3 linked regions of the Canis lupus familiaris genome follow. The protein of the gene in region 3 binds, or shares a complex with, the protein of the main gene of each other region. Links are inferred from orthologs where the notes say so. Each region holds a gene or a part of one and is shown on either strand. Other genes may lie near its edges.

Region 1 (3,650 bases), on a different chromosome or scaffold from region 3:
AGTTTATTTAATTTTCTTAAATTTTATTTGTTATTATTATTTTTTAAAAGTTTATTTAAGTAATCTCTACACTCAAAATGGGGCTTGAACTCGCAACCCTGAGATCAAGAGTCTCATGCTCTTTTGATTTGAGGCAGCCAGGTGTGTTCTCAATCTTTTAGTAATATTTTTTAAAGATTTGTTTATTTAGGGATGTGGCTCAGTGGCTCAGTGGTTAAGCTTCTGCCTTCAGCTCAGAGCGTGATCCTCGAGTCCTGGGATCGAGTCCCACATCGGGCTCCCCGTGTGGAGCCTGCTTCTCTCTCTGCCTGTGTCTCTGCCTCTTTCTGTGTCTCACATGAATAAATAAATAAAATCTTAAAAAAAATTGTTAATTTATTTTATAGAGAAAGATCCTGCACACATGCTAGTAGGGGGAGGGGTAGAGGGAGAGAATCTCAAGCAGACTCCCCATTGAGCCTGTAGGGCTCCCCTCAATCTCATGATTCTGAGATCATGACCTGAGGTGAAATCAAGAATTAGACACTCAACTGAGTTGCCCAGGCACCACTCACTTTTTAAAACAAACAAAATCCCCCATGTTCTTCTAATAATTCACAATGATGACAACTAAGTATACTCTGATTAACTAATATTGAATGATTATCATACATTGTAACACCTCAAGGTCTTTTTTTTTTTTTTAGTATTTTTTTAAATTTTTATTTATTTCTGATAGTCACAGAGAGAGAGAGGCAGAGACACAGGCAGAGGGAGCAGCAGGCTCCATGCACCGGGAGCCCGACATGGGATTCGATCCCGGGTCTCCAGGATCGCGCCCTGGGCCAAAGGCAGGCGTTAAACCGCTGCGCCACCCAGGGATCCCACACCTCAAGGTCTTAATCTATTTTTCCAAATTTACTAATTGAAATATTATCTCTTCTATTCATCCCAAATCTGATCAAAGTGTAAAAATCTTTTATGACCTACATAACTCTTGAAGAAGGTATAACAGTTAATATTATCTCTACTTATGAGAAAGTTCTGTGTGCTAAGTGATTTACCCAAGGGATTCAGCTAGTTAAAAACACAGCCACAACTAAAACCTTTCTCTTTTGAGTGAGCCAATAGGTTTTTGCTAAAAAAAATGATAGAGAGAAAGGCTAAAGACAAAGATGACTGAAAAAGAGCAGGTATTTAGTAAAAGTATACAAGACTGGAGTTGGGAGTCAGAGATAAGAATGTTTTTTATTTTTCTTAAAATAGGTTCCATGCCCAGTGTGGATCCCAATGTGGTGCTTAAACCCATGACCCTGGGCAGCCCGGGGTGGCTCAGCGGTTTAGCGCCACCTTCAGCCCAGGGTGTGATCCTGGAGACCTGGGATCGAGTCCCACATCGGGCTCCCTGCATGGAACCTGCTTCTCCCTCTGCCAGTGTCTCTGCCTCTCTCTCTCTCTCTCTCTCTCTCTGTGTCTCTTATAAATAAACAAATAAACAAATCTTTAAAAATAAAAAATAAGGGCAGCCCTGGTGGCACAGCGGTTTGGCGCCACCTGCGGCCTGGGGTGTGATCCTGGAGACCCGGGATCGAGTCCCACATCGGGCTCCCTGCATGGGACCTGCTTCTCCCTCTGCCTGTGTTTCTGCCTCTCTCTGTCTATGAATAAATAAATTAAATCTTAAAAAAAAATAAAACATAAAAAATAAATAAATAAACCCATAACCCTGAGATGAAGACCTGAAATGAGATCAAGAGTCAGATGGTTAACTGACTGAGCCACTCAGCCACCCCAAGAATGTTTTTTAAAACCTAACTTGTAATATATATCAGTGAAACTATCTTTAGATTAAGCCTCAGTGCTCTAGAGCTACACTGTCCAATATTGTAGTCAATAGCCACATATTCTATCTATTTTTAAAGATTTCTTTACTTTAGAGACAGGAGAGAGAGAGAGAAAACACATCAGACAGAGGGAGAGAGAAGAATCTTAAGCAGGCTCCATACCTAGCAGAGCTCAATCCCACAACCCTAAGATCATGATACATACACTATTTAAATTGAAATTAATTAAAATTGAATACAATTTAAAATTCAGTCTTTCAGTTTTATTAGCGCAACCCAATTTTCAAGAGCTCAAGTCACTAGTAGATAGTGGCTACTATATGGACAGCACAGGTAGAGAACATGTCCATTATCACATGAAGTTCTATTTAACTAGAACCTTAGTTGAGTAATCTACACATTACCTGGAGGGTTGAGTTGGGCTGGATGTTCAACAAGATTTGTGATTCCAAAATAATCTTCTCTCTTGGGATTTTCCTCTGTACTAAAATTGGAGGAAAAAGGGAAAACAAGATATGTGGGTAGAGACAATTCCAAGAGAGGGAGTCTCAGAAACACAATGAAAAAATGCACTCTTCACAATGCATTCTAGTAGTTTTTAGTGTTTGCATATCTACAACATGTAATTATATTACACATAATTTTTAAGATGAGAAAACTGGGTCCCACTAAGGTTGGACATACTCTCCACACTAGTCATTCTCAACCTTTTTCCTACCCTAACATCCCTGATGGATGTAAAATTCTCTAACAAATAACAAGAACTCCCTGGGACAGTGATTGACAAAAGAAGGGAAAGGAGAAAGGCTGAGACACGGTCTCTTAAAGCCATGTATCAGAATTATAGAACAGATATAATTAAAGCTCTCCAAATGTTTCTTAACCATTCTCTCCTGAATCAATTATCCTTCCTCTTGTTCTAGGAACAGATCTTTAAGAAATGTAAAAATCTATTATAAGTAGCAAAAAAAAAAAAAAAAAAAAATCATTAAGAAAACAAATAATTATGTATAACAAAACCAAGTACAAAATTTACATCCTTTCCCTTTTAGATTTGTGCCTATTCCTTCCTCTGTTAACCCCCAAAACTAAAGAAACCTATACAACATATTCTTCACCAATACATAAGCCTGTGTATGGTTACCTATTTCCTCAGGATTTTAAGATTTTACTTAATGCATGAGTATCATCTCTCCCAATAAAATTCTAGCCTTATTAAAAAATATTAACTAACAAACTCACAGGTCAAAGCCATTGGGGATGATATAAGAGTCCCACCACTCAATTTCAGGGATATCTCCTTCCTTTAGCTCTTTTTTAGGAGCAATGAGGGCCAGCCTAGTTGAAGTATGGATGCCTGTTTTTCGAGCTGCCTGTGAGATCTCTGCCTGCAGCTTCTCCAGTTGAGCCTAAAGACAAGATAAACCAAGATGCGAAGATAAACCAGAGTCACAGAAAACAAGGACATGAAAGAATCCCAAATTTTAAAGCACCCTCGTTGAACTGTTTATGTCTAATGCAAAGAATTCATAATTTCTGAAAACTCTGAAGAGCCATTCTACTTTATTTTATCCTTAGTTGATTTACATGCAACTACCCTCATCACCACCTTTCACCTGTAGCAAAATACAAAAATTGGCATTTTATGAAAACCCCATTCTAAGAAGATAAAAACAAGAAGCAAAATTCACTGAATATATAGTCAGTTTAACTCTTCACGTGTGGAGTTATTTATCTGCAGTAAATGTTAAGACAGGCTAGCTTTCCTCAGTCACTCAGAGCATTTTGAATTATTTCCTTCCACTATTTTTTTTTTAAGATTTTATT
Region 2 (3,650 bases), on a different chromosome or scaffold from region 3:
ATGGACACATACTGTGATATCCTCCAGGGAAGAATCGATGATCTCATAGTTGTCTGGAAGGCAGTAAAACTTGAGAGTGTGGAGGTTGAGGAAGACATGATGGCTAAACTGGACACTGTGAATATAGGCATGAGACTTCAAACCTCGGCCTGTAAGGAAGGATGAAAGGCTGTAAGAGTAGGACAGATGCCAGAGAGACACAAATCAGATTTGATTTTCCTTTCATAACTTTGTACTGGAACACACTAATACCAGCAAAAACTAAGTACTATACCAATTGGTCAGTGAATCTCTTACATGAACTTGTCCCATCACAAAAAAGAGGAAAAAAGAATAGCACATTAGTACTTTATTCCCTGGATGGCATAAACCATTGGTTAGGGAAACTAATTTCATACACATAAATGTGAAATGTGTGTGTGCATGCAGTTGTGTATGAGCTAGTTCCACTTTATCTAAAAGTAAGACTACCTACGCATAGATTATATATAATACATGCACAGACATACATAGATATGCATATATACATGTACAACTACAAATATCCATCATCATTCAGTCCTGCATTTCCAAACACCCACATTCAGGACAATCCTGTACCTATGTAACTTTGTTCAGAATGCCACTCTTTTCTAGAGTCTCTCTACCTTAACCCATTCAATCTTCTATGTCCTACCAGTTCAAGTCCCACATTGACCTCCTCCATGAATTAAACACAAATGCTCCAGCTAATATTGATCTCTACATATTTTAACTCCCAGAGTCCTTATCCATACTCACTGCCACACAGTCCAGCAGTAATCCTTATGATCTTATAGTTTGCTTATTGTTTTATGTGTTAACCTTGACTATGAGCTCTTTATAAGAGCAAGGAATGTAGTTTATGTTTCTTTTGAATCCTCCAGCATACTGTACATAGCATGTGCTTGGTCTGAATGAATTGACTAGTTCCAGAAAAGAATAGGATGAAAAAGCCCTCAGAGCAAAAGGATTTAAAAAAAATAATAAAAAATAAAAAATAAGACATGAGTACAGAAAACATGAGAGATTCAAAAACCCACAGCCTTTAAGACCTCCTACAAAGCCTCAACTAGTTTTTCTTCCCTTTCATACATACACAGGTTCTGACCGAAGAACCTCCTATTGATTTCCTAGGATTATCCCAATTGCCTGGGAATAAAGATAGATATTCTCAGATGTGACTCCTGGTAGCAGCTTACCTTCTTTAAAAGAAAGTAAAAAACCTCTCTGGAGCAGACCTGTAGCTAGCACTGAAAACTTAGAAAGTTTATAATATACAACATTTACTTACCCTGAAAGTACTTGCCACACACCAGACAGGCATATGCATTGATATGTGAGAGGGAGATGGAACATAGTTTCTCAAAGTCAAAGTCCAGCACACTCCTAAAAGAGCCAAACAAAAGAAGAAAAAAAGAAAAAAAAAAAAACAATTAATAGGGAGAGATGTCTAGGAAAGCCCCCAAGTGAAGCAGCATTGGCTCCACATTCCACAACATCACATAGCATCCTTCAGAGATAGTTCAACGACCATATGTAAACTGTGAGGAACATTATTCCTCCCCTAGACATTTAATATAGCACCCCTACACACCAATTCCCAAAGCAATGTCAAGGTATCTCTACCAGACATACAATGCCAATGACCCTCTTTCTTTTTCAAATTTACAACCAGTAGAAAACCTTCTATTGCAGTTACTTTCTCTGGAGGAAAAGCTAAAAAGTAGGACTAAAGCAACAGGGCCCCAACAACATTCCAAATTAAAAGACTAGGGATGGGGCAGTCCCACTTGCGCAGTGGCTTAGCACCGCCTGCAGCCTGAGGTGTGATCCTGGAGACCCGGGATGGAGTCCCATGTTGAGCTCCCTGCATGGAGCCTGCTTCTCCCTCTGCCTGTGTCTCTGCCTCTCTTTCTGTCTCTCTCATGAATAAATAAAATCTTTTTAAAAAGTAAATAAATACTAAATACATACATACATACATACATAAATAAAAGACTAGGGATGGGGGGCACCTGGTTGGCTCTGTCAGTTAAATGTCCCAACTCTTGATTTCACTCAGGTCATAATTCAGGGTTGTGAGATCTAACCCCACATAGGCTCTGTGCTGGGTGTGGAACCTGTTCAAGATTCTCTCCCTCTTCCTCTGCCCACCCCCTTCTCTAGGGAAAAAAAAAAGAGAGAGAGGCAGTGAAAAGACATCAAGAGTGAACAAATCCTTTTATAAAAGAAAAATCGATTTTTGTCCATAAAAATAAATGGGAAGCCTGAATATTAGAATACCTACAAATAGATGTACTTATTTAACTGCAAAGTAATGTTATATGAGTACAGGGCAGGTTAAGGGACAAAAAACATTTTTTTGGGGGGGGGGGGGGGACAGAAAACTTTTACTTCCATTAAATCCACAGGTGACAAAGAAATTTCTCCTCAAACATTAACTCTAATTAATTGGTAATGGTCCCAGTAAAGCGGCACTGTCCATTAAAGGAGGCAATAGCCACAAGTTAATATTTACATTTAAATTTAAAATAATTAGGGACACCTGGGTGGCTTAGCGGTTGAGCATCTGCCTTTGGCTTAGGGCGTGATCCCCGATACGGAATTGAGTCCTATATTGGGCTCCTTGCAGGAAGCCTGCTTCTCCCTCTGCCTATGTCTCTGCCCTTCTCTCTGTGTCTCTCTCACGAAAAAATAAATTTAAAATCTTTAAAAAAATAAATAGGGGACCCCTGGGTGGCTCAGCGGTTTGGTGCCTGCCTTTGGCCCAGGGCGCAATCCTGGAGTCCCAGGATCAAGTCCCGCGTCGGGCTCCCGGCATAGAGCCTGCTTCTCCCTCTGCCTGTGTTTCTGCCTCTGTCTATCATAAATAAATAAATAAATATTTTTTAAATAAATAAATAAATTTAAAATAATTAGAATTTGAAACTCGGTTCCTCAAGTCATGTTTCAAGTCCTCTCTAGCCATAAATGGCTTGCACCTGCCACAATAAATAGCCCTTATAGTCATTTCACTACGGAGAGAAGTTCTTATCTAATCTATATATTAAACAGTACTATCTTAAGGCATGAATTTAAAAACATCTTAAGATGCCATCTGGGATCAGAGAAATGAAACAAGGATAAAGTAACTACTTCTGCTTTAGGACATATTTTTATCTGTTTTCTCTACTAAATTCCAGCCATCTAAAGTAGTACTTAGCATGTAGTAAGTACTCAAAAAAATACTTAAATTTGCCACTGTCATTTTAAGGACACCATATATATTCCATCAAACAGATTCAAAATAAACTAAAAGCTTTTTATGTACATGCACCTCCTAAAAAAAGAAAATGCCCTCTGACACTTTATATTAAAAGGTAAGGATTGGGGACACCTGGGTGGCTCCGTAGTTGAGCATCTGCCTTCGGCTCAGGGCGTGATCCCAAGGTCCTGGGATGGAGTCCCACATCGGGTCGCCCACAGGGGGCCTGCTTCTCTATGTCTCTGCCTCTCTCTGTGTGTCTCTCATGAATAAATAAATAAAATCTTTTTAAATAAATAAATAAAAGGTAACGATTAATAAACATGGCAGGAGGCACAATTTTCTGGGCAGAAAGCTTTAAAAGGGATAAAATTTGTGAATGTGT
Region 3 (3,650 bases):
CTTCTGTAGGGTGTTTCACATCCTTTGGCAGAAAGCAGGGGGTCTAAATGCAGAAACACATCTCAAAGCCAAGGATGAACCAACAGCCCTAGAGTACTGGGGCCTTAGTGGCACCTCACGCTTCCCGGACCCCATAGGCCCCAGGGCAGCCTGCTCACCCGGGCAGTGGGCGCACTGCTCCGCGCCTTGGCCAGCAGCCTGCGGGCTCGCTCATACTCGTTGTTCTCGGACTCCAGCTTCACAGCAGCCAGCCAGATCTCCTCACTGTTAGGGTTGGCCTGGAGGGAGAGTGCAGCCGTGGCCGGGTGGGATCAGAGCACAGTGGCCTGCGCTAGGTTACACTTAATCAAAAGCAGCCAGCCTGGGTGTGGGGCCGGGGCCTCACTCTACTGCAGGACAGTCTAATCTAATAAGCACGTCCAGGGCTAACGGACAACAAAGCTGGGTCCAGCCCAAGAATGCTGACCTACCTGAAAACAAGCCTGCTCATTTTGTGGGCACCCAGGCAACAACACCGGCAGTGGCAGAGCCACCTTCTCCGTGGCCCACCTTAAGCCCTCGTGGCCTCTCAAAGCTGAAACAGCTCACTCACGTCCTACCTGTATGGATTGGCCACACCCAACCCTCTCTCACGCCTGCTGACAAGGAACTGGCCATCTCAGTGCGTCCATGGGAGTAGGAAAGAAGGATGCCCAGGGCATTGCTGACAGTGCGGAGGGCTTCCACGGGCTAGCACTGGGCCACCTACAACCCAGAATCCAGCAGACACAGGGGTAGTACCGTCACAGCCTCCTGAAAGCACAGCTGCCCGCTGGCACACTTGCCTGGCCGCATCACAGACCTGATGAGCAGCCCCAGAGCGACAGGCACCTGAAGGGTGGTGTTGGGGACAAGCTGCAGTGTCCAGGGAGATGGCAGGAGAATCTGTGACTCAGACGGGAGCAGTGTCCTCAACACGTGGCTGTCCTCCAGCAGACAGCAGAAAGCAAAAGGCCAGGTATAGGCCAACCCCCTCTCACAGCCTTTACTCAAGGGCCAACCTTGTCACGCTAGTCAGGGCTGCAACAACACACTGACAGTTGCGCTGCACTCAACACTTCATAAAAACATATGCTGTGAGCGCCGAATGACACATGGAAGTGTTGAATCGCTACGGCCGTACCCTTCCTGAAACTGATGGAGCACCGCACGCTGACTCTACTGCAAGCTCCTAGCACCCACACCGCCCCGCTCACGACATCAGCCGTAACGAGCCTGGCTACGCGCAGCTGTCTGAATGGAACGCCTCCATCTGAATGGAGCCAGATGCCCAGTGGCTCCAGGTGGCCCCGCAGGGACTGGACAACTGAATTTTCTCATAGGAAAGAGGCTGTCACTGTGCTCTTATGTGGGGAAACGGTGGTCTCTGGCAACTGCTCCATGCAGCTGGGGAAGGTCACCTGCTGGCCCTGTGCTCTGGGTTCTGGAAAATCTGGGCTATTGTTATACCAAGGGGCCACGACCAAGGGGTAGGTCCACTTCCTGGCCACTGTCCTGCCCGTGGGCCCTCTCAGGACCCCGACTGCCTGCAGAGCACCCTAAGTTTGGTGCATCCTGACCACACACACCTCCTCCCTTGGGTCGGCTCCCGTCAGTGAGCAGGGGGAGGGCTTGAGGGCACACGCACCCTGAAGCCCTCAGTCCTCAACAGACACGGAGGTTGGGTTCCAGTGCACACGCCCCCTGCAGCCCAGATGACCCCTCAACCCACCTGGAAGGCCAGAGCCAGGATGCTCCTTGCTGCAGGCACATCCCCTGCCAGCCACTTGGACTTGGCGCCCATAAGCCACAGCACCTCCGCTTTGGGGCAATGGGCCACAGCCCTCTGCAGGAGCGCTTCCAGGGACTCCCTGGAAGAGAGGGGGCTACGGTCACCACCGGAGCACACAGGGTGCTCACAGCCTCAGCGTGGGTGCTGAAAAGACAGTTACTGCTCCAAAGTTCGGCGCTATCAATGATTTACCAGATTTTACAATGGGGAGAGTGTGGGGAAATCTTTTCTCTTCATAAAGGTTCTAAAATCAACTACCAAAGAGGGTGCTACAAAGCAAGGCATTGTTACGTGGCTAAGCCCAATGGAGGGACTTCTCAGGGGCCCTTTTATGGCTTTGTGTCCTGAGCGGAATGATAACTTCACGGTCTGGGTGACAGGAGAGCTCTTTTCATCTGTAACCACAGATCCGCCGATAAAGATTACGACCTAGAATCTATTCTTTGGTATCCAAAGAAAAAGGCTTACTGGAAAAAAGCTACTTTGGTCACTACGGAGCAAGAGTACCGCCAGTGTGGGTGCTGGGTGTGAGGCCCCCACGCCTCCCGTGGCCACTGTCGCTCTGCGGCACCACCTGACACAAACGACCTCTCTGGGCCTCGGCAGCAAGACGAAGAACTCACTCTGTATGAAGCCCGAGAGAGAGCACATCCTGCTTCCCAGGCAACACCAGAACCAGGACCCCAGATCCCGAGTGCCCCACCTCCTCTCACCATTCCATTCCATGAGTCAGCCGGATGGGAAGGGTGCCAGAGACAGGGAGGGGAACTGCCCCGAGCCCAGGGACCAAGGGCAGCAGTGGCAGCGAGGCACATCCACAAACCACACCTGGCAGGGGAGGCCCTGCTCCAGACACGGACTGTCACAGGTGAACTTGTACAGGGTGCCCAGCACAGTCCTCTCAAAGCACCCCCAAATGAGTTAATTCCGAAACCCCAAATGAGATGGTGGGAGTGGGGATGAGACAGGAGCTCTGAGCAACGCACGTGGACAGACACCCTGACCAGACTGAGATTCGACAATGCCGGGCAAGGAAAGAACTAGGGCCCCGGTGCTCCTAGCAGAAGCCCTGTCCCCCACACCCCACCCAGCACAGGGAAGAGCAGCAGAGGGCCTGGGCAGAGAGCACGCACAGCAACATGAGAGACGCTGCCCCGGAGAGACACCCCCTGAACACCAGAAATTGCAACACCTAATTTAATCAGCAGTTACAGCCAATAAGGCAGATCCAAAAGATTTTTTCAATTAAAGAATACAATTAGAGAAAACTGTCAAGGACCTCCTCAGAGCACAAAACTAGCCCAAACCCAAAGTCAGCACAGCTTAAATGAAAACCATGCCTGCCTGGGCCCAGACGCCACACCGCCCACACTGCTAAAGCCACCGCTGGCAAGACACAGGGCTGCAGGCCCCTGCTTCGCCCCAGGCACCCCATCGGCCACCAGGCGTCCGCCAGCTCAGCTGTAGGCACTTCTACTTCTGCAGAGACACTGCGTCTCAGTCTCAACTCTGAAGCACTGCTGGCCCTATCACAGAAGGAGCCATACAGAGCTCACAGCCTCAAGTGTCGGAGAAGCCTCTGCCCCTCGTCACAGACGACTGGATCCCAGTTCAGGCCCTCACCCACCTGTGGGCACATGAGGTTTATATTCAGCTCTACCCAACCTGGTGTCAGAGGATCAACGAGCACACGGGGGTGGAGAGCGCCCGCACCTGGGGACCAAGCACATACCTGGTGCCGTGGTTCTTCTCGAAGTACGCAGCTCGCAGCCACACGCTCTTCTTGCTGGGGAACACTTGCAGGGCGTAGGCATAGATAGCTCGAGCACACTCCAGGGCA

Evidence for each region.
Region 1: PRPF6 (region 3) and PRPF3 share a complex: the UniProt entries of both Homo sapiens proteins name them as parts of the U4/U6-U5 tri-snRNP complex. The link is inferred for Canis lupus familiaris from reciprocal best matches to the Homo sapiens genes PRPF6 and PRPF3.
Region 2: PRPF6 (region 3) and USP39 share a complex: the UniProt entries of both Homo sapiens proteins name them as parts of the U4/U6-U5 tri-snRNP complex. The link is inferred for Canis lupus familiaris from reciprocal best matches to the Homo sapiens genes PRPF6 and USP39.

What each region holds. Positions count from the first base shown.
Region 1 is NC_049238.1:60,223,059-60,226,708, reverse strand, and holds part of PRPF3 (U4/U6 small nuclear ribonucleoprotein Prp3), read right to left. Parts: intron 3,233-3,650; coding exon 3,066-3,232; intron 2,308-3,065; coding exon 2,228-2,307; intron 1-2,227. UniProt on the Homo sapiens protein: Plays a role in pre-mRNA splicing as component of the U4/U6-U5 tri-snRNP complex that is involved in spliceosome assembly, and as component of the precatalytic spliceosome (spliceosome B complex).
Region 2 is NC_049238.1:39,811,826-39,815,475, forward strand, and holds part of USP39 (U4/U6.U5 tri-snRNP-associated protein 2), read right to left. Parts: intron 1,408-3,650; coding exon 1,313-1,407; intron 150-1,312; coding exon 13-149; intron 1-12.
Region 3 is NC_049245.1:48,320,395-48,324,044, reverse strand, and holds part of PRPF6 (pre-mRNA-processing factor 6), read right to left. Parts: coding exon 3,543-3,650; intron 1,890-3,542; coding exon 1,751-1,889; intron 279-1,750; coding exon 159-278; intron 1-158. UniProt on the Homo sapiens protein: Involved in pre-mRNA splicing as component of the U4/U6-U5 tri-snRNP complex, one of the building blocks of the spliceosome.